Schizosaccharomyces pombe: one gene and its partners. Changing the gene in region 4 together with the main gene of any one other region gives a genetic interaction. Each region holds a gene or a part of one and is shown on either strand. Other genes may lie near its edges. The genes, in order: car1, atg13, aru1 and arg1.

Region 1 (4,949 bases), on a different chromosome or scaffold from region 4:
TTCATTTGAGCAAAAGCCAGCTGGGCTCATTATAATGCATCTTCGGTATTAAATATCTGGATTTTGGCTGAAGTGTTGCAACTTTGCTTAATCGTTCTCATCAAATGCTCTTGGATTGGTTGTTAATGATAATATTTATTAATGTTGTTTTATTTTTTACTTAGCTTCTGGCTTGAAGGTTATTATAGCCGTTGCTATCCACTGCGAGGTTTTTTTCCATAAATTCTTTGCTTCTTGGTTACGACTTTCAATTTAATTTTCATAGACGTGCGTCTGTTGATGATTAATTTCTTTGATTTTTGTTATCCATTTGTTAACCCCCTTTCATGACTTACTTAACAATTTCTTTAATGGGGAGCGGACTATTATCTCACAATAATTTTTTTTTGCGTCCATCTCCACCCTCTTAATGTCGAATAATTATCTTTCATTTATTTTTTTTTTGAAAATTTAATTCACTTTTTTTAAATTCAGTTTACATTTTAAATTGTCAAGTCCGTAAACGAATCAGTGCACTTTAATGTAGGATACCTTTTATAAGTTCAGCAGCTTTTATTGTAATCTACTATGTTTGCAAGATCGATTATAAATCATAAAATTTTAATAGTATGTCATCTCTTAAAACATACCTTTTTTTTTTCTTCTTTTTTACGAAAAAAAAAATTTGAAAATATTAAATTAATGGATACTATCGATGTTCCAATACAAACTGTTTGTCTGTTCGTTTTGGACATGCACGGAATCTACATTAGTTCATTAAGGGTTCAAAAATCTCTAGATACTGGTTTCTATCATACCGAACAATGTGGAAATGCTTACTGCAAATTTGTCTTCTAAACAATGAATCGTTGTCATGAGAATACTCGTTTATGACACAATTGCAGCGTGTTATTCGATTTTTTACTTGTTTTTGTGCACGGCATGTAGACCGTGTTCAGCATGTCTAGATCATGTAGTGTCAATTTTGATAGATCGGTTGACATTTCAATAAAAATATGGACATGACGGTATACAACACAATAGATCATTTTTTTATTTAGTGTTGATCAGTAATCTAGTGATATATTTATTTAGCTAGATCATAACCCTAATTTTTTCTATATTTTCATTACCCTTTCGGTTTTTTATGAAATTATGATGGTTTGATACATATTTGCAATTACAATATATACTGCTAATACTTAAATAAATCACGTTGCTCCCGTGGCCTAATGGCTAGGGCATTTGACTTCTAATCAAGGGATTGTGGGTTCGAGTCCCGCCGGGAGCTTTACGTTTTTTGTTTTTCGATCAGTTACTAATTGTTTGAATTTTCTTAATTTGAATGATGAACTTATTATAACAGATTTTAATAACTTGAAATCCTGAGGATGAAAATAAACATTAAATACTTTTCACCTAATAGTTGCCAAACGCATATGGGTGATAATAATCTAGTTATATCCATGCTATCCACGGCGGATTAATGACCGAAATTAAGTCTCACCCTTTTTCAAATTATTGCTAAAAGAAGCATGCTTTCCTTTGATCATCATAAGCATTGTTTACTCGTTGAACAAAAAAAAAACTAAAAAATATAAAAATCGATTCCAATACAAAATCAAAAATTTAATCGATGCATCAACCGGGAGTCGAACCCGGAGCTAATGCTTGGAAGGCATTGATGTTACCGCTACACCACTGATGCGTTACTGAGAGAGATAATTAAGTTGCAAAATTTATACCTTAAAAATTATTACAAATTAAGGAAATCGAGCAGAGGTCAGCAGCACACCAGTAGAAATTATAAATTTTGTTATTTTTAATAAAAACATAGTTAAACTTGACAAAAAGATATATACATTTTCCTTAAACTGATAACATTACAACACCTTTTAGCACAACGTCAATTATAGCTTTAATAGCTTCTTAAACTCGCTTGCTAATCTTGGCGATATTGTTGCTAGTTAAATTAATTTTTATCCTTTACTCATTTAAAAACCAACATTTTTATATTCCTCCTATACCAATGTTACAATAATCGTTACAAAATATTCAATCAATTTAATAAATTTTTTTATTTCTTTTTCTTTTTCTTTTTTGGTTACAATGTTCAAAAAATATAAGTTATTCATCAGATATTCTCCATATTAAACTTGTAAATACAAAACAAACTACCGTCTGAATAAAATTTCATCTATCATGCTATAATACAATACAATTCCGAAAATAAGTCACTTGACCCATGGAATTCCGTAGCTTAGTTTCGATCTTTTCCGTTCCATGGTAAATATGACTTGTTTCAAAAAATGGCTATGGAAAATATTCCCAGAGGGGTTGGGTGTATATTATGATTTTACGTCCTATTTCTATTAATTTTCCATAGTGTGATTTTTTCCTTTCTTGAATTACTTTATTTTTATTTAATTTATTTTCTTTGCTTTATTTCATTTCGTTTGATTTATTTTATTTATTTATTTATTTTTTTTTTTAATAATAGTGAACCGAGCTATCGTTACGGAGTATAGAAATGTTGAGTCCGTGGAATTAATATCCCGTTTTTAGGTTGATGAGTCTAATATGATTGCCCGCAAGATCTGATAACGGCCGGTAGATAAAATACTCAAAGACTATTGAGTAAGCAAACGCTCACTATTTATTAAAGCCGTCATCGGCATGAAAAACGGAATTCCATAAATTTCGCAACCTCCCATCTACTTCAAAGGGTCCTTTGCTATACACAACATCGTTTCTACCTGACTGAATCAAAAATATATACAATGTCTCCTCATAAAATACCCGAAGTACATAGACATATTATGTCTAGTAGATACATGGAGGGAAATGCCGTCTCTATCATAAATATGCCATTTTCAGGCGGTCAACCCAAGGACGGTGCTGAATTGGCTCCAGAAATGATTGAGGCGGCTGGATTGCCTGAAGACTTGGAGCGTCTTGGTTATAGTGTCAACGTCGTTCAAAATCCCAAATTTAAAAGTCGACCTTTAAAAGAAGGCCCTAATCAAGCCCTCATGAAAAACCCACTCTACGTTAGCAATGTTACTCGCCAAGTTCGTAATATTGTTCAACAGGAACTAGAGAAGCAAAGGATCGCGGTCAACATTGGAGGAGATCATTCACTTGCCATTGGCACTGTTGAAGGTGTACAAGCTGTCTACGATGATGCTTGTGTCTTGTGGATTGATGCCCATGCTGATATTAATACCCCCGATTCATCCCCTTCAAAGAATCTTCATGGCTGCCCATTGTCCTTTTCCTTGGGATATGCCGAACCTCTTCCTGAAGAGTTTGCTTGGACAAGAAGAGTAATTGAAGAGCGTCGTCTTGCGTTCATCGGTTTGCGCGATTTGGATCCTATGGAACGTGCTTTTCTTCGTGAACGCAGCATCACTGCTTACACTATGCACGATGTTGATAAATATGGAATAGCCAGAGTAGTAGAAATGGCATTGGAACACATCAATCCAGGAAGGAGACGTCCCATTCATCTTTCTTTTGACGTCGATGCCTGTGATCCAATTGTCGCTCCAGCTACTGGAACCCGTGTGCCAGGCGGTTTGACCTTTCGTGAAGCAATGTACATTTGTGAAAGTGTTGCAGAAACTGGCTCTCTAGTTGCTGTTGATGTTATGGAAGTTAACCCACTTTTAGGCAACAAAGAGGAAGCCAAGACAACTGTGGATTTAGCTCGCTCTATTGTTCGAACTTGTCTTGGTCAAACGTTATTGTAGAACCATGTATTTTATGCTATATCATGAATTAGAAGTATGTTACGCGTCGGATTAGCTACTGTGCTTTTTCAACGTCCCAACACACAAGTATATTAATAAACTCAAAATCTCATAATTCAGACACTGTACCGACAAACTTGGGCAAAGTTACTGTTTGGTTCTCAGATACTTGACTAGACTATTTAAGAAAGAATTTTACTTTTTCACATGAATTGAATTGCTTAGGTGCTAAGAACCCGAAATGTATGCTTTAGACTGTTGACTAAATATTATAATTATGACCAATATTAACTTTCAATTAAGTAATTCTTTTACTACTCTTTCAATTAAACTGATGGTCTTTTAGTACATTTATGAAGCGTCAAAATATTTTTTTACCAACCATAAACCGTTTTTTTCCTCCTTGTAATTCAAATTTTTCATAATGTCTTAACAAAAATGAAATTTTCTATTCGAATTTTCCCACTAATTGAAATTTAAAATTTGAACCCCAATACCATTACCATAATATTAAAAAAAATAACTTTGAGGTACTAATAGTTTCTGTCAGCGCTAGCTAATGAACGAGAAAAATAACTGTAAAAAAAAAAATATTGTCAATTTCCATCATACAACGAAAAAAAGATAACCATCGTCCTTATTTTTGATACCTTTTTAGATTTTTCCTCCGTGGTAAGAATTAATAATTTGTTTTTCTTTCACTTTCACCCACGGATGCATAACAGCCATCGTTTGTATCTTATCTATTTTTGCTTATATACTTGACAAGTGCGACGAGCCATCAATCCGAAAAAAGATCTTTATCATTTTTACTTTTCCATTAATAAATATTAACAATATCATATTGATACAACTGTTTGTCATCGCTGACAAATGAATTGTTATTTGATATCAGTCCTCCTGAACAAACATCGATAACTCGATATTGCCAGATGTTATTGGATATAATTTATGGATTAAAAATTCAACAAGCAATTTAACTTGGAATAATAAATAATACCATACGCAAGGGAATTCTCGTATTCTATTCAATTTCTATATTAATAATGAATAATAATATAAACCAAGTCCGCAAATCTATAGTTTCATTTAACGAACCTCGTTAAAATTATGTTGGCTCCTCCTTCATTTACGATATGAAGATTAAGGAAATCCATCGAGTCACTAATTTATTTCTCAGATTAACAAATATCTTATCTATGCTTGTCCCATGATCAA
Region 2 (6,544 bases), on a different chromosome or scaffold from region 4:
AAAGAAGATACAGGCGTAAACCCAAAAACATGCGCCGCAATATATCGCCATTCGTTTTAAAATATTTAAAAAATTTCGAAACAATGCTAAAAAATTAGTATTGATATTATGGTGTTTAACTTACCTAGGTAGATTAGCCCTCTGGCAATCATCAAAACTCCAAACAAACACCACAGGAAGATTTGTGCCGAAACTGTTGCTTCAAACCCGTATTCCTTTGAAACATATTCAATTAAATCAAGAAAGGCTAGCAAGTAGACTCCGTATCCAAGTAAGGAAATGACAAATATTTTTGAACGGCGTGTCTGAGGTTTTGAGTTGCTGTTTGTGATTGTCGCCTGATTTCTATTTCGAAGATTATAATGTTCCTGTTGAGTAGTCTTCGGTTTTTGCTTGTCATCTTGAGTTTCCTGTCGATCAAATGATGATTCCTCTTGATTGCTCGAAGTCTCCTGTTGATTAGCTTGTGGTTCCTGGGGTACAGCTTTTTGACCAGCCTGTGGCTCCTGTTGGGTGACCTTTGAATAAGCTTGAGGGTTTTCTTGAACAGTCTCCAATTTTTTCCCAGCATTCTGAAGCTCCTCCTCTTGAACTGTCGAAGTTTTCTTTTTGTCCGTTTGTGATTCCCCTTGAGTAATGAAAGCTTCATATTGAGAGTCTAATTGAGGATTTCGAGGATCCTCCTGGTCAGTTGGAAAGTTCGCTTGACCAGTGTGAGATTCCTGTTGATCACTTTCAAAGCTTTGCATTCTTCCCATTTCAATTGAATCAATTCCCATCTCCAGGTCGCATGGTTTTTCTTTTGACTTTGTAAGAATGAATGATTTGATTACTTCCTTCAAGTTATACATTCTATGTCTCTGTTCATGCTTCACAAGTGGACTTGACGATCTAGAAGATCTATTCTGTTCATCTTCATTTTCGTCATTGACATTTTCCGGACACGGATCCTCTAGTAAGGTCTTCTGAATATTTCCAGATTCTGAACCATCTTCCTCCATTTCTTCTTGCACGTTGAAAATGGTTTCATTTTCCAAAACGTAAAAAGACGACAATGATGTTGATGATGTATTCTCGTTAAGCATTTCTCCCATTTCTTCAACTTATCTCTATCTTATTAATTATTGTTAATATTGAAGCAGTAAATCTGTTTTCAACAGTCAGATAATTTATAATTGGGGAACCGAAAAATGAAGACTTCTAAATAAAAACAAATAGCAGCAGTACAATTAAAGCCAAGCGATTATATTGGATTTCTAAAAAAAATAGAAACACCTTGTAACCAACAAATTTGAAACTTCAAAAAGTAGTATTTTAATCTTGGTGATTTGGAATGTAAAGAATATATAACATTTTGACAATTGATGATGAAAACATCGCAGCATCATGACTTATGGCATCTGCAATTTAATAGCAAAAACAAAAATTAATTAAAGTCTCGTTTCTTTATGACTCCTTATATCGTTGGTAAACCAGAGTACGAAATTCAAGGTATTTTAGTACTACCACATAATTTAATTCCTTTTTTTTTTTAAAAACGAAAAGGGCTGAGCAAACCTAAGCTTGCAAAACTTAGTACTGCCAAAAAAATGAGCATTTTATTAAAACTAAGAGCTCTTAGAAGTCAGTAATATCCTTTTAACTTCGGGTTAAAATCATGACCATTACCTTTAACATCAGTTGCATCGCTTCAAACATGATAATACTGAGGGTTTTACATTTAACTTTCACAAAAGTGATAGAGAATGCATCCTAAATCAATAAGCTAGTGCTTGTAAATGATTTTAATTAGTTAATAATTACCGTACACTCAGCCAACATAAATCGACATTATTGTTTGTTTTCCATAAGCGATGTTTGTGTATTTGGGTTTTAAAATAGCGAATATTTAGCGGCTGTCAACAAACATTTCCTACATTTAGCAATACATTACGTATCATCATTTGTTGTGCAATAAAAAAAAACGGTTAATATCCATTTATTGACAATTTTCGAAAATTGTATGTTTATGTCCGAAGTTTTTTCGGATTAAGGGAATCATAAATCAAATAAAACTCAGATTACTTAATTACTTGTTGTAGGTTATGCTCCATTTATTGTGAATTTAAATTGTTCCCTTCAACAAGACTACTTGCAGCACTGTTGCACATAATCCCTTTATATTCCAAAATAATAGCTCACAAAACAAGATTCACCGCAGTTTAAAGAGCCTTTAAATATAGCTACCATTTGTCTTATAACGTGATCGAAAGAAATCGTATTTAACGCAACGCTAATATTTACCGTGCTTCGTTGGAGCATGGCATCTGTAGTATCTTTTGCCGCTTACTACAATACTCTGCCTTACCAAATACGAACTGCAAAACCAAATTCATTCAATTAGGAAAACTAATTAAAAACTGCTTTATCAATTTAAAGAATGAGCTAACAATCAAATTGTTACATTAAAAAATTAATAATTTATACTTTGAAGTTGCAATTGAATTAATGGAAACCACATTGATATGCCGAGACTTAATACGCAGCTTCCTCGAATGTATTCTGCTCCCCCTGGGCATAGTAAAGCAGTTTCAACTGAGTTAAATAAAGATCTATCATCAGTGGGTGGTAGGAGCGCTAAGCTGGGCCAAGTCATTCACGTAAGTTAAAGTGTGTATCATAAGCTTGCTTGAGGTCCACCCATCCTTTACTTGAAAAGTATTAACATTTACAAATAGCATTGTTTTTATAAAACCGGATTAATAATTTTGGAATCCAGACTAAATGTATTTGGGACCTCTCGTCCTCGAGAAAGTTCTAAGAATAACAAATGGGTATGTATTTTTGTTTTTCTACAATGACGAGTATCGGTGTTATGCGCTTTATTCATACAGTGGTTTTCAAAAAACTCAAGATTATTTATCAATTACTTATCAGTTTACGTTCATCTCGTGCGTCTGCATAGAGTTTCATTTTTAAGCTACAGGTGAATAAGTTGATCACTGTACTATTGATGTATAAATGTGGAATTACAAATAATTAAAAAATTCATATTTGCACTTAATTAACAAAATGTAGTTCAATTTGGAAATTGTTGAAACTGAGCTTTATGCCGAGCAATTCAAAATTTGGAAGAATATTGAACTTTCTCCTTCACGAAAAATACCTCCAATGGTTTTGCACACATATTTAGATATATCTGATTTATCAAAAAATCAAACCCTTTCTGTTTCCGATGGTACTCATTCTCACGCAATCAACTTTAATAATATGTCGACAATGAAAATCGTACTTGAAAGATGGATTGTGAATTTAGATGGCGAAGCCTTATCAACCCCTCTGGAGTTGGCTGTTTTGTACAAAAAGTTAGTTGTTTTATTTCGTTCCCTCTACACTTATACCCATCTTATGCCTCTGTGGAAATTGAAGTCGAAAATACACAAATTAAGAGCTCATGGTACATCTTTAAAAGTTGGCTGTGCCCTCTCTACGGATGATGTTTTATCGAATGATTTCCTTCCTATAAGTGCTCCAATTTCATCCTCGCTCGGAAGCAGTATTGCAACTTTCTCTTTCAGCCCTGTTGGTACACCAGCTGGAGATTTTCGCATATCTGTTCAGTATCGTAAAAATTGTCATTTTGAGGTTCATGATTCTGATGCGTTACTCTCTAACCAGTTGTTATCTGCAGACAAGCATCAACTTGCTGCTTCGAACAATTCTCAAGATTTTGAAGATGGCAAACAGTATGATCAACCACCTCCTTCTTTTGCAACGCGGTTAGCTAAGCAGTCGGATCCGAATTCTCTTTTACAATCTGAAATCCAACATTTAGCTAGCATTGAGTCTATAACAGCTCAAGCAGCTCCTCTTGTTACTATACATCCTTTCAAATCTCCGTCATTATCTGCTTCCCCAGGGTCAAATTTTGACAATATGTCAATTTCTCCGAAGGTTGCAGTCAATCGTTATATACATCGCGGACCATCAGCCACCTCTTTAAATAAATTTTCAATGATTTCTGATGCTGCAAGCAAATCAAGAGCAAAATTGCCACCTCTTACATCTGGAAGTCTTAAGCTTAACACACTTGACATTTCCAATACCCCGAATCTTCGACGATTTAGCAGTAGTTTCGGTCCCCGCGAGCGTAAAGAAAGCTTTAGCTCTCGTAATCGTTTACCGCTAGTCAATCATCCTATTCGTAGCATTTTCAAACATAACGTCTCAGAGAATCCTATAACAGATCATTCTGAGCATGCTGTTTATGATAGTGAATTTGCATCAAAGGATGATCTTAGCGGTTTTATTCAACTATTAGATAGTCATGCACATCATTTAAATGCTTCGGAAGGTAGCAAATCAAGTGGTTCATTTCCAGGGAAGGTACAAACTTTGACATCTGGAATTTCGCCAGTTGCTCACCCTCATAATTCCTTGGGTAGTAGCAATGAAATTTTTGACATCGATACCTATAATCATTCAATTGATAATAGCGGATCCCGTTTTACTGAGGCTGTGAAGCATAATCTTGGAAATTCTAGCCATAGCATCATGCGCCATCACACTTTAGGTACGCTGCGATCTCGGCCTTCCTTCTCTGAAAAATCTACCTTCCCTGCTCCCCTGACATCCATTTCACAAGCTTCCACGTTCCAAGGAGATAACCGGTCTCCAAGCACTGTTATTCCTCATACTCAAACTGAAGTACCATCAGCAAACGATACTTCAAAGCAACTAGCATCTCTTCACGATATGCGGAAAAGTCAATCACCAATTTGTGCTAGATCGGCTACTTCTGCTGGACTTCCGCGTTTCGAATATCACACCAGCTTATCCAAATCACTGGAACATTCATCAACGCCAGCAAGCCTACAAGCAACAAAGACGCCCAGCCCTTCTTTTGTACTTGAGCCGGGAATCCCACAAGAGTACAAAAAGCACTTTGATAATCTTTCTGAAGAACGACGTCAATGTCTTACTCCTTCAACACCTACTTACGAATATTACAATGAGCATAACCCCAATTATGATGATGATTTATTGTTCACAATGACTGATATGACTCTTGAACCCCATGATGTTTCAGCTATTAGGCTTGGTTCTCCCAAATCCGATGATTAAGCGAAGCCTATGTTTAGAATTTGGAGTGATATAGCATCCATTTAATGCACTCAACCATTCTTGTTTTCTTTTAATTTTTTAATAGTTTTTTTCAGCTGCATTATAGCTTCAATTAAGCTTCGTTCCATACAAGTGAATTTCGCAATATTCGCCTCAATTCATGAGCTTTGGGCAGCGATTGAAAATACTCATAATGTCTGACTGTACTTTTCACATTTACCATGATTAGTATCTACATATACTGTTTATCTAGCTAGTGTAGGTATTAATTGAAATTGTAATTTAGTTTCTAATAATTTAAAAAATCACAGTTATTGAAAATTTAAATTTACTAGTTAGCAACAGAAACATCATGAATAATAGTAATTTGTTAGCTCTGTTTATTCTGTGTATAAAATATTAGCAACGTATACAGTTTCAAGATATTAATACAATCTTCTAGCTGCGATTTGAGCAATGTAAAACGCTATGATGTTTTACCATTGTTTTGAAAAAAAGAGGATGTTTCTTACTTCCTGAATATCGAAAAAAAGCACTACTATTTTATAAATTGGAATGTTTAAGATTAGTCAAAAACTATTTTTTTACCCTGGAATGCTGCACTAGAAGGCATTTTTTGTTTCCTTTTAGCCTCCCAAGAGGGATGCAGTTGCTCTGGTTTTTGAGGTGTTTGGTGCTCCGTAAAAGCATTTTCACGAGCAGCACGTTTAGCTTGCCTTTCTTCATACTTTCTCTGTCTTTCTTCACGAATACTCCTTTCTTCAGTCGCTTTTTTTATCAAATGGTTAGCACCTTTACCATACTTTTTTTCCCAAATAGCTTGTCTAGCTCTTTGACCACGACGATTTTTACGCTTCGGGATATCTACTTCTTCTAACTCCTTTTCGACAAATTCATCATCACTTTCGACTGGATCTAAGAAGCCCGCTGTAAGGGCAGGCAGATTAGTATTGTTATGTTTGCCCAGAGGAATTTCCAACATCTCATCATCAATTATAGACTTCCTGTTTATTAAAGTAGCATTTTGAAGAGATGATTCTTTTACACCTTCATTTTTCATAGAATATGACATAGACTTGTTGATTTCTTTGTCCTCAGTATTATCCAAAATCATACCAGTATCTTGATTAACGCCATCGGTGCTATTTTGAACATGGGTATTATCCACTTGGTCTTGATTAGAAGTTGATTTGTTTGACAAATCTACTTTTCCGATGGTCTTAATGGGTTTTTGGGTAGAAGACACAGCCTTTTTATCTGACAACTCTTGTAAATCGGGGTTTAAGAAACGAAGATACTTTTCGAGTATTGAGTTGATGTTTCGAATGGCATCAGATAATTGCTTGGAATTTAAAATTCTAGCAACGGTATTTCTCTGAGCATCCTCAGTCAAATCTGCAGGAAAATCAACATGAAGATTTTCGTTCAGTAACTTCCGAAA
Region 3 (4,974 bases), on a different chromosome or scaffold from region 4:
AATGGCTTTCACTACGTACATGACATTTTTTTAGGATTTTCACTCGTACGATTTTATATTTATAGGTGGTCTCCATTGATCCTTATGCATTTCATATTACTTTTGGAATTTTTTTTTTCAAAATTTTACATATTTCCTCTAGACTTAATTATTAACGGGTTTACACTGCAAACGCTTTTTCAGTGGGACACTAAATAATATTTATTAATTACTATATAAGATACGTCGAATATTTTACAGATACCGAAAACTATTTGAGGCTTAGGATTAAGAAAATCGTATTTTTAACATTGAGAAAGAAGTTTGTTTAATATTGTACATTTTATTTTTACGCAATTTCAGCATCCACAATCTTATTTGTTAGCGTACATTTGGTGCTGGTGTAAATGCTATATTAAAGACTGGCCCGCTAAAATTTAAAGCAAGTTGGTTTACCTTAGTCATAATTTGTGAAGAATAATCATGGAAATAAAACCCAATTTAAATCGTTTAAAAAATTATTATTTAATATACATATATATTTCTTTTATTTTTAGAGACTAAAATATTCATTAGTCCGCCTTATTTTACCATATCAGAAACACCAAAACCTCTAAATTATCACCACCGAACGTAGTAGTATAAAGATTGATTTTCTTCAAATGCAATTGTCTGCTTCTTTAACATAATTTACTTTTTTTGACGTATCTTTTCTCAAATCGCCCATGAATATTGAATCGTTCCTTAGAATTTACAAATAAAAAAGGAACAAATGATTATTCGGAAACAAATTTTCCCATTTCTAAGTCAAAATAGACCTTGGACGATTATTAATAGAATCCAATCCGAAAGATATTCTGCATCTTATGAACCAAGCCCTGAATTGCTTAAACAGTCTTCCAGAAGACTAGAGCAGGCTGGTTATTCTGTAAAAAATGCAGAAACAATTACTAATTTGATGAGGACCATTACTGGAGAGGCGTAAGTAAAAAGTTTAAGAGCTTTCCAACTAACGTTATAGGCTTACAGAGTTAGAGAAAAATATAGGATTTAAAGCTAAGCAGGAATCTGTGTCGTTCCAGCAAAAAAGAACATTTTTACAAATTCGGAAGTATTTGGAGACGATTGAGGAAAATGAATTTGATAAAGTTAGGAAAAGCTCTGATAAACTTATTAACGAAATTGAAAAAACCAAGAGTTCTCTCCGCGAAGACGTTAAAACCGCTTTGTCTGAAGTCAGATTGAATTTAAACCTTGAAAAAGGACGTATGAAAGATGCCGCAACGTCTAGAAACACAAATATTCACGAAAATGAAACGAAAATTCTCAATGAAGTGGATATTTTACACAAAGAAATTAATGACATGAAAATACAAACCAATCAATGGTTCACCGGTTTCGTTGGAGTCGTATCCTCCGTTGTACTGATTATTTTGTTTTACTTTTAGTGATTATCCTTAATAAAAATGTTTACGTGATAATATGCTTTTACTCAACTTCAGTAATCAGATCAAAAAACTTGTTAATACCTAAGTCAATTCTATTTAAACGGTTAAACAATAGTAACGTTATTTATATTTTTTCCCTTAATTCCACATAAAAAGAATGCACTCTTCGTCCCGTCAGCTCATGAAAATCAATATTCGTTTTATATATTGATAAATTGTAATTTTAAAGTAAAGTTTGACCAAGACTAGTACGAACGATAGAGCGGGCCAAGTCCACCGTAGTCTTGGCCTCCTCTTCATTACCAAGTAGTGGATTAACCTCCATAACATCAACAGCAACCAATGTACCGGATTCAGCTACAGCTTCGCAGATGTACATTGCCTCACGGAAAGTCAAACCGCCTGGAACACGGGTACCAGTGGCTGGGGCAACGATGGGATCGCAAGCGTCAACATCGAAGGAAAGATGGACAGGTCGTCTCTTACCAGGATTGATGTGCTCCATCGCCATCTCAACGACACGGCCAATTCCGTATTTGTCGACGTGGTGCATGGTATAAGCGGCTATGTTACGCTCACGAAGAAAAGCGCGCTCCATAGGATCTAAATCACGCAATCCAATAAAAGCCAGACGACGCTCTTCAATAACTCTCTTGGTCCAAGCAAACTCTTCAGGGAGAGGCTCGGCGTATCCTAAAGAAAATGACAAGGGGCAACCATGAAGATTTTTAGAAGGAGAAGATTCAGGAGTGTTAATGTCAGCGTGAGCGTCAATCCACAAGACACAGGCATCATCATAAACGGCCTGCACACCCTCCACAGTACCAATGGCAAGAGAATGATCACCGCCAATGTTGACAACAACTCTTTGCTGTTCTAATTCACGTTGGACAGCATCACGAACTTGACGAGTAACATTGCTAACGTATAAAGGGTTTTTCATTAAAGCCTGGTTGGGACCCTCCTTGGAAGGACGACTTTTAAATTCGGGGTTTTGGATGAGCTTGACATCGTATCCAAGGTGTTCCAAATCATCCACAAGGCCAGCCTTTTCAACCATTTCGGGAGCCAACTCTGCACCGTCCTTGGGCTGGCCACCAGAGAAAGGCATGTTTATGATGGAAACACCATTTCCCATCATAAATCTACTTAACATCAAATGACGGTGGTTATCACTAATTTTATGAGGAGACATTTTTTTTATTTTCGAGTACTTTTCAATAAGAAGAGAAAGAATGGCATATACTAAAGACAAGTTCAAAAACGGAATGAAAATTAATATACTTGCTCTTTCTTAAGTCCGTGGAGGCCACCCAGAAATATTAGCGAATCTCATTCGCAGGTTATATCAGAGTAATTCCGCGTTGTAAAATTTTCACTAAGGTAACATGTTCTTCACCTTTATTTCACTATCTTCTTTATCTTTCTCGATAAAGGGAAGGTTCGTTCTTTGTTTAGTAGTGATATGGCAGATCTAAAGTTATCTATTTTTCTTCTTATGAATGTATTGTGAGCTAGATATGCAGGTTTTCAGGCCTCTCCTACTGCTTAAATCATGCTTAGATCCTTGGGGGTCGGGTGTTGAAATTTCAACAGTCGGAATAATCGCTTGTAACTTTGATGTTTTGCAGTAGCTGTCGTTTTTTTTTTTCTTAAAGTCTTCCTAATGGCTGTGCATTGCCCAGTTATTTTCCGATGTCCCAGTGCGATTCTTAAACTAAAAGAACGTTTTAATATCGAGTTTCAATACAAAGGGAAATTTGTATAATAGTTCATACGTTACATACTACTTGCATACTTATAGCAACTATAGCTTTATTTTTACTGCTTTCTTTTATCATCTCTTTTGCAGGTTAACGTTAGCTCTTTTTTGTTTAACCATTATAGTATTGCATTGCTTCTAGGTTTCTCCTAAGAAACTTGCTTAAAGATTGAATACTGAAATTTGCTTTGTTTATAGTCAAATCAAAATACCTCATTTTTTGTAAATTTTTTCAGTCAACCTAACAATCAATAATAGTCTGTCTCTTCGCTACTGTCACTTTACGATCGAACTCAGCTCGTTCACACTATGCAGCATCGTTGTTTCTCTCTTTCTGTTTACTGAACCTTACTGCATGTTCTAAAATTTGTTTAATTGTGGCTGTTCCAAACAAAAGTGTATACGGAGTTATCATTCAGAAATCATGCCAAAGTCATAGTCAGGATGCTCAAATACTCATCCCTTTGATGCTCAACTAGGGTTGCCTTTGTCTTTGTGCACTTCCTTTATACTGTTGTGCATGGACTTTATCTATGTGCTGCCACTAGGCATTCTAGTTCAGCCTGATGCGTGCTTCCTCGGAATCTCCTATCTTTGTAAATCGTCAAAAAGTTCCATTGTAAATTAATATAACAATGCGTCCGTTTCCATTTAAAAACTATTCAAGCACTATAGCTGCTATGTGAATGTTGTTTTTCATCCTTTAATTTCTTCATTTGTTATATTTCTAATCAAGAGTGTCATTATATTGCATTACTTTAATTTTTCTTGCATTCCTTACTATTTTCTTTTTGAATTTTACTTCATTTCGTTTTGCATTTTGTAATTGTGAACCCCTTTCTTTACAATTGCATTTGTCTCTCAGCTCCAAGATATTATGAACCCTTCGTCTTCTCCAAATCGTAGCTTGAATCCGACTAGAGGATTGAATCTCTATAGCACAGGGAATGAGGTAACATGGTTCTCTTCCACCGTTGATGAGGTGAACGAGCTAAAGCCTGCAAAATCAAAAGCCTTTTCTATTTCAGCCCAAGATCAAATTTATGGTACTAGTTCTCTAAAGTCTCGGTTTTCAACCCATGAAGCATCGTCTGAGAAAGATGATTCTTCCGATTTCACCCTCGTGTTGCCCTCCAATCGAATGTACATCGTTATTCCAGGACTTATGTTGTCGATTTTCCTGTCCGCCTTGGACCAAACTGTCATTACTACAGCTATTCCCACTATTGTAGCAAATCTCGATGGCGGTTCATCGTATTCGTGGATTGGTACTGCTTATACTTTGGCTCAAACTTCAATTCTTCCATTTTGTGGTATCATGAGTGAAGTAGTCGGTAGGAAAATTGTCCTCTATACTTCCATTGTTCTTTTCCTCTTCGGTAGTGCCATGTGTGGTGCTGCCCAAAATATGCTTTGGCTTGTACTATGCCGTGCTGTGCAGGGCATCGGCGGTGGAGGCATTACATCTCTAGTTACAATCGTTATAGCTGACATTACTCCTTTACAGACTAGACCTTACTACACAGGTTGTATGGGAGTCACCTGGGGCCTTGCTTCTGTCATGGGTCCTTTAATCGGTGGTGCAATTTCGCAAAAGGCTAGTTGGCGGTGGATTTTCTTCATTAATCTACCTACTGGTGGTCTTTCGCTCGCACTTTTGATTTTTTTCCTCAATCTTGTACCCAAGCCTACAGTTTCGTTTCGCGTGTTTTTACGTGATTTTGACTTTGTGGGCATTATTACCATTACGACTGGTGTTGTGTTGTTTTTAGTTGGTTTGAATAT
Region 4 (5,706 bases):
TGGAACAGGCGATAAACTGTCCGAAAGGCACTTGGTAGCCTTACGGAATAGTGTCTCCAAGTGTCCAACAAACTCATTCATCTTCGTATCACGGATAAGAGCTTGTAAATGTAATATAAGAATTCCATTCAAATCTTCAAGAGAATAGTGCAAAGCCTCACCCGAATATAAACTACAAACTTCGGATTCCACAATAAGCCAAGTTTCATCCGCGGATATGGGAACCAGGTTAAAGCGACCTTCTAAAGGAGAGCGAACTTTGCCCAATTTAGCAAATGCAAGAGAGGCTGCACCGAAGCCATTGATTATTTGATTTGTAACAAGTGATTGTGGGATGGAAGCGCCAAAAATTCCCCCAGCGTCTCTTCTTCCTCTTAAGAAATTTCGAGACCCGTTGAGCGTTTTCTGCAAAGCAGAAAGATCTAAACCATCTTTAGGCTTTTTATGCTTATGCGGAGAGAGGTTAAGCAGCGATAATTGAGTTTTCGTAGAAATACTTTGAACTTCGGCATTAACATTAGAAGGGCTAGTAGGCGTTAAAACGTTCAACTTTCCTGGGCGCTTGGAATGCTTACTCCAATGTGTTTCCTCAAAAACCGGATGACTGCTACTTTGACTAGATCTTCTGCTAAATGGCCATTGTCCATTAAACGGACTTTTAATGTTTTCAGTCGTGTCAGAGTCGCCAACGTTTGATTCCTTAGTAGTAACAGTCTCCAAGTCTTGGTTCTGCCCATTTTCCGACAACGAAATAGTGTTAGAAACACTTTCAATGCTAGTTTTAGTGTTTTTTGGAATCCAATTAATGGATGAGGCGCTCGAGGTAGATGAAAAAGATCCCCTCCCTACCATCTTTAGTAATATTTTTGGAAATGTACTGAGGGTATCCAAGAAATTTGCTTTTAGTTACGCGAAATGCGATTCTTCAAAATAAGCATGAGATGATATTCATTGTTCAATCATTATAAAATGATTAAACTTACTTAAAAAAATGATATTTTTTAGAAAGATAAAAAATTTTGTTTATTTTTGAATATGGTGGTATTTTGCTAAAGTATCGATGTGCGCCTTAAATTAAGATAAAATATAGAAACGAAAAATTGATTAAGAATTCCTTATAACGATATCGTTCTAATGTGAATTGAATGAATAGCATGTTGATATAATAATTGTATGCCAAAGAAAAAAATAGTTAATGCTAAAAGAAAACATGGAATGTTATTTGCTATATAACTTTTTAAAAGTTAGTAATAGAAAACGCAGTAAAAAAACATTGATTTTGTGAATTACTATCATTTGACAGAGTATTTACGGTACATATTACGACAATTCAGTTTAGTAGATGAAAAACAACAATATATATCTAATTTTCTAACAAAAAATGTAAACAAAATTGATTATGAAAAGAAAGGGAATAACGAAAACCAGTATTTACAATGTAAAGCTTCCAGCTAAGCTTTTCGTAACCCCCCTATCAAAAAATTTTTTGGTTGGCAAATGAGAGCAAGGTTAATATATGTTTTCGAGGAACAAGATTTCTCGTAATAATCACTTTTTATCGCACTATATAACCAATCCATTCAATGACCAAGTCTACGAAAACATACACTTTTACTTACTTAAAGCCTTCAAAGTGCTCTCCATGATATCCAAACCCTTAGCAATAACCTCATCTTTAACATTCAAACTAGGAAGGACACGGGTGTTGTTGTTTCCACCTGGTAAGAGTAAAAGACCTTGTTGACGAGCAAGCTCAATAAATTTAGCAGGGGGCTCGGTAAATTGCAAACCAAGAAGAAGACCACGACCAGCATATCCACGAATAAGATTAGGGTATTTGGCAACAAAGTCATCAAAACGTGAAGTAAGAGCCTTGTGTTGCTTTCTAACGTTTTGTAGAATCTTGGATGACCCTAATTCATTAACACAGAATGTGCCTACACGGCAAGCAACAGGATTACCTCCGAAAGTACTGCCATGTTCACCAGGGTGAATTTCAGCAGCGATCTTACTGGAGACAATGGTGGCGCCGATAGGTAGACCATTAGCCAAAGGTTTGGCAACTGTGATAATATCGGGACTAGCGACATCCTTAACGATACTATGGGCCCAAAGATCACCGCTGCGACCAAGTCCGCATTGAATTTCATCATAGATTAAAGAAGCACCAACCTTATCACAGGCCTTGCGCAAAGCAATCAAAAATTCAGGCTTGGCAGGACAAATACCACCTTCACCTTGAACGGGCTCGACAATAACAGCCGCAGTTTTGTCATTGACAAATTGCTCTATGGATGCAGGGTCATTATAGACGGCTTGGACGACATCAGGAAGTAATGGTTGGAAACCACGTTTATATTTGGGGTTCGCAGTGATACTAAGAGATCCCAAAGAACGGCCGTGGAAAGAGTTATTAAAGTAAACAATTTGACTCTTCCCTTCTCCATACTTCTCAAACGCTGCCTTACGAGCGAACTTCAAGGCTGTCTCATTGGCCTCAGTACCACAATTGGCAAAGAAAATTTTTGTGGGGCCAGCAATACCGCTATTTTTTGCCAAAGAATTATTAATGACATTAGATAGCTCAATGGCAGGCTCGTTGTAGAAAAGGTTGCTACTATGGACTAATTTGGAGCATTGATCAGCGGCAAGTCTAGCAACTTCAGGATGAGCATGACCCAAAGATGTAACAGCTACGCCAGAGGTGAAGTCAATGTATTTACGACCTTCCTTGTCAAACAAATAGGAGCCCTCACCTTTAGCAGCTACGACTGGATAGCGTGCATAAACTGATATAATATTCGCCCCTTCCTTCTTGATAATATTGCAACTGGTTGTATCAGGAGTTGGATCTTTGTGGGTAAGCTAAACTTGGTTAATAAGCAGTTTAAGAAATATTAAAATTAGTACTGTATGAGGCAGTATGAAAGCACAAATGAAGATTTATTTTGTTGGGTCAGTAAGAAGCATTCTCAACATCAATACTTGTCTAAAAACAAGAGCAAAGTACAGAATTCTCGAAAACAATCAGAATTAGATGATAGTCTAATTATTTGCCATCGTATGTTCAGTTGCACTTACAATGCATACTCTATCAACAAACTTGTACTTACGCTGACAAATCGACGAAAGGCGATTTGGGAACCAGACGAACGAACAGAGAGAAGTGATCGTCTTTGAAACATTGTAAAGCAGTTACGGGCTTATTAGGGGGGTTTGGTTCTGGTTATGTGTTTTTATACTGATATCGGAAGTTCATCGTAATCGTGACTGATTTAGCGAGATTTAAAACACATCAATATTTTCATGACAGTCGTCTAATCTATGTCGGTTATCTTTATCGAATTGATTTAGATTGATGAAAAATTAAGCCATGACATTGTCAAAAGAAATTCCATTCACAAGACCACCTTTCATGGCTGTACGCACACGAGATGCAAATCCTTGAGGGTCTTTATGCAAATCAGCCGCCGCCTCTAAAAGATATCGTTTGTTAGTATAGTTAAATAAATCTAGAAAATTTGTTAAGGAGCAAACCAGATTTCTTATATTAAAATTGCTTATCATAATCATTGTCCTCAGTAAAGAACCTTATAAATCCCATAATAAAGGATCGTAGAAAAAATGAGTATCAAATGATAGTTAAGAGATGAATAATCATTTCCTTGTAATGCAATAACAAGAAATAGTTCATTGCCCCCCAAAAAATTGTAATTAACCTACCTTTGTTGAGTGGATCTTCTGCGTTTGGTGACAAGAATAAAAATTGCAATCCAACCAAAATAGAATTCAAATTCAACACTGGATTCCAATCCTGACGCAGAATATTGAGGCATACGTTTCCCTCAATATCGATATTTGGGTGATAGATCTAACAGTAGGTCAGAACGAAAGGGTTCAAAACATGTTATAATGGTTATTTTCTTAAATGCAAAAAATATACCATAAGCTGCAACTCTAATTTAGAGCATGACTGACATACTTTGTTTAGACATTTAACCTTAGGAGGATCATGAGGATAATTATCGTCGATTTGGATTCGAAATTTAAATTTCCCACCCTTGTAATACCCTTTTCATGTTAATCAAAATAAAAAATAATAGTCTCAAAAAGTCTACACCAAATATTCTTTCATGCGGAATCACAAACTTACCTTCGTCAGGCCGGATTTCTAAATGTAGCACGTTCAATTTTATAGGATCTGGCCAGCTTGTAGACATCGTAGATGGGATTTCTAAATCTGTAACGTCTAAATTCATCGAAAATGGTTAGTTTCGAGTAAATCGCGAAAAGTTATCAACATGATGAGTCGCACCTTTTTGGATTCGGATTTGTGCTGGACTAATCCCTGACGCATTTTTCTCTTTTTGAGCTTCTTTCTTTTTTAATTCCCAAATTTTTCTCATGATTTACGCGATTCTTGTAATAGGCAGAAGGATGGAAAATGCGCTTACAATTTTGGGTATAAACAATACTCTCATACATCATTAAAAAATAGCGAAACATGTAGACACCTAAAGTGCTAATAATGTGGCATTTTATATTACCTTATTCAATTGCAATAACCAATTTTAATAAAGTCGTTACTCTACGCAAGCATTCAACAATATTACGTACTGGAACACTGCTATGTAAAGTTATATACAGACATCGCAGGATGTCGTAAATTTAGGGAATGGGAAACGGTTATCATAGTAATGAAAAATAGTTCTCCTAATTAGAGAAGCTGATTATATTGACTTTACTTACCGAATGATTTAATATATTCCTTTACTATTAATTCTAAAAAAACCCAGACTTACAACCTAGTCGTTAAATTGTAGGAACCGACTACAACTTCGACAGCTGTTTCAAAGCATTTGAAAAACTTACAAAGTGTTTAAGATTGAATCTTTTTTTTAACCTGTACTATATTTTTCTCTTGTAATTAGCTCTATTTTCCTTTTCACTATGCCATTTTTGAAACCTTCAAAGGTTTCACTTAAACGAATTCTCCAAGGAAATCCACCCAAACCAATTGGCTTAACTGAGTATGGTCATTTGCTGAGGCTCGTTGGTCTTCGTGAAGCAGACTCTAAGGAAGAGAATGAAAGAACAATTCTAAAACTCAACGAAGGAATCATTCAAATGCATGCAATTGAGAGACTTGATACATCCTTCATTAAGGAACCATTTCGTACTTTGAATCATGCTATTAATGCGGAATCTCTACCATCATTACCCGATCAAGAGCCGTGGAATGTATTTCAGAATGCTAAGAAAAGAGACGGGCAGTACTTTGCCGTTTATTCTAAGCTAAAAGATGATTCCTCTAATGAATCTCCAAACAAGCAATAAGGTTGGAAAATCTACGTTCTGTTAAAAAAGGAAGGAATGAAACAAATAGGGTATAAACCTTTACTAGAGCGGTGCCTTACATATAGAACATGTAACAAACTCTCGTATAATTATTCAAAAAATTGATATTATCAAAAACTAATAGTATTTTCCACATAGCTTATTTCTTTTTTGCAGCGGCGGCGGCAGCAGCAGCGGCTTGTTTTTGTTTCGCTTTTTTGCTAGAGCGATACATTATGTAGGCAGAGATCCCAAAAATAGCTACATTCATTCCAAGAGGGGTGTATTTTTGACTTAAGTGTCCGTAAAGTGCAAGTGCCTTTCCAAAGACCCAGTAAAAGGACTTCAAGGGCCCGTTAACAGAGAAAA

What was found.
Region 1: mutations in arg1 (region 4) and car1 impair growth when combined (synthetic growth defect), as found in Schizosaccharomyces pombe (one study listed by BioGRID).
Region 2: mutations in arg1 (region 4) and atg13 impair growth when combined (synthetic growth defect), as found in Schizosaccharomyces pombe (one study listed by BioGRID).
Region 3: mutations in arg1 (region 4) and aru1 impair growth when combined (synthetic growth defect), as found in Schizosaccharomyces pombe (one study listed by BioGRID).

Annotation. Positions count from the first base shown.
Region 1 is NC_003423.3:322,973-327,921, reverse strand, and holds car1 (arginase Car1), read left to right. Parts: upstream 1-2,691; 5' UTR 2,692-2,759; coding exon 2,760-3,731; 3' UTR 3,732-3,978; downstream 3,979-4,949.
Region 2 is NC_003424.3:4,839,405-4,845,948, reverse strand, and holds atg13 (autophagy-associated protein kinase regulatory subunit Atg13), read left to right. Parts: upstream 1-2,345; 5' UTR 2,346-2,504; coding exon 2,505-2,639; intron 2,640-2,717; coding exon 2,718-2,813; intron 2,814-3,057; coding exon 3,058-5,103; 3' UTR 5,104-5,464; downstream 5,465-6,544. Other genes in the region: protein mug126, read right to left, coding at 1-86, 125-1,094; BUD22 family ribosome small subunit biogenesis protein, read right to left, coding at 5,669-6,544. UniProt on the Schizosaccharomyces pombe protein: Component of the atg1 kinase complex that activates the atg1 kinase in a nutritional condition dependent manner through the TOR pathway, leading to autophagy.
Region 3 is NC_003424.3:1,941,879-1,946,852, reverse strand, and holds aru1 (arginase Aru1), read right to left. Parts: upstream 2,675-4,974; 5' UTR 2,623-2,674; coding exon 1,651-2,622; 3' UTR 1,485-1,650; downstream 1-1,484. Other genes in the region: vacuolar amino acid transmembrane transporter Avt3, read left to right, coding at 1-34; SPOM_SPAC3H1.08C (uncharacterized protein), read left to right, coding at 752-960, 1,001-1,427; SPOM_SPAC3H1.06C (transporter), read left to right, coding at 4,067-4,974.
Region 4 is NC_003421.2:1,611,713-1,617,418, forward strand, and holds arg1 (acetylornithine aminotransferase), read right to left. Parts: upstream 3,225-5,706; 5' UTR 3,186-3,224; coding exon 3,114-3,185; exon of another isoform or gene 3,086-3,113; intron 2,866-3,085; coding exon 1,612-2,865; 3' UTR 1,335-1,611; downstream 1-1,334. Other genes in the region: Protor homolog, Bit61, read right to left, coding at 1-852; NEDD8-conjugating enzyme Ubc12, read right to left, coding at 3,367-3,476, 3,724-3,871, 3,983-4,071, 4,154-4,249, 4,316-4,406; protein Gta3, read left to right, coding at 4,951-5,337; SPOM_SPCC777.12C (ER stress response thioredoxin family membrane disulfide oxidoreductase), read right to left, coding at 5,498-5,706.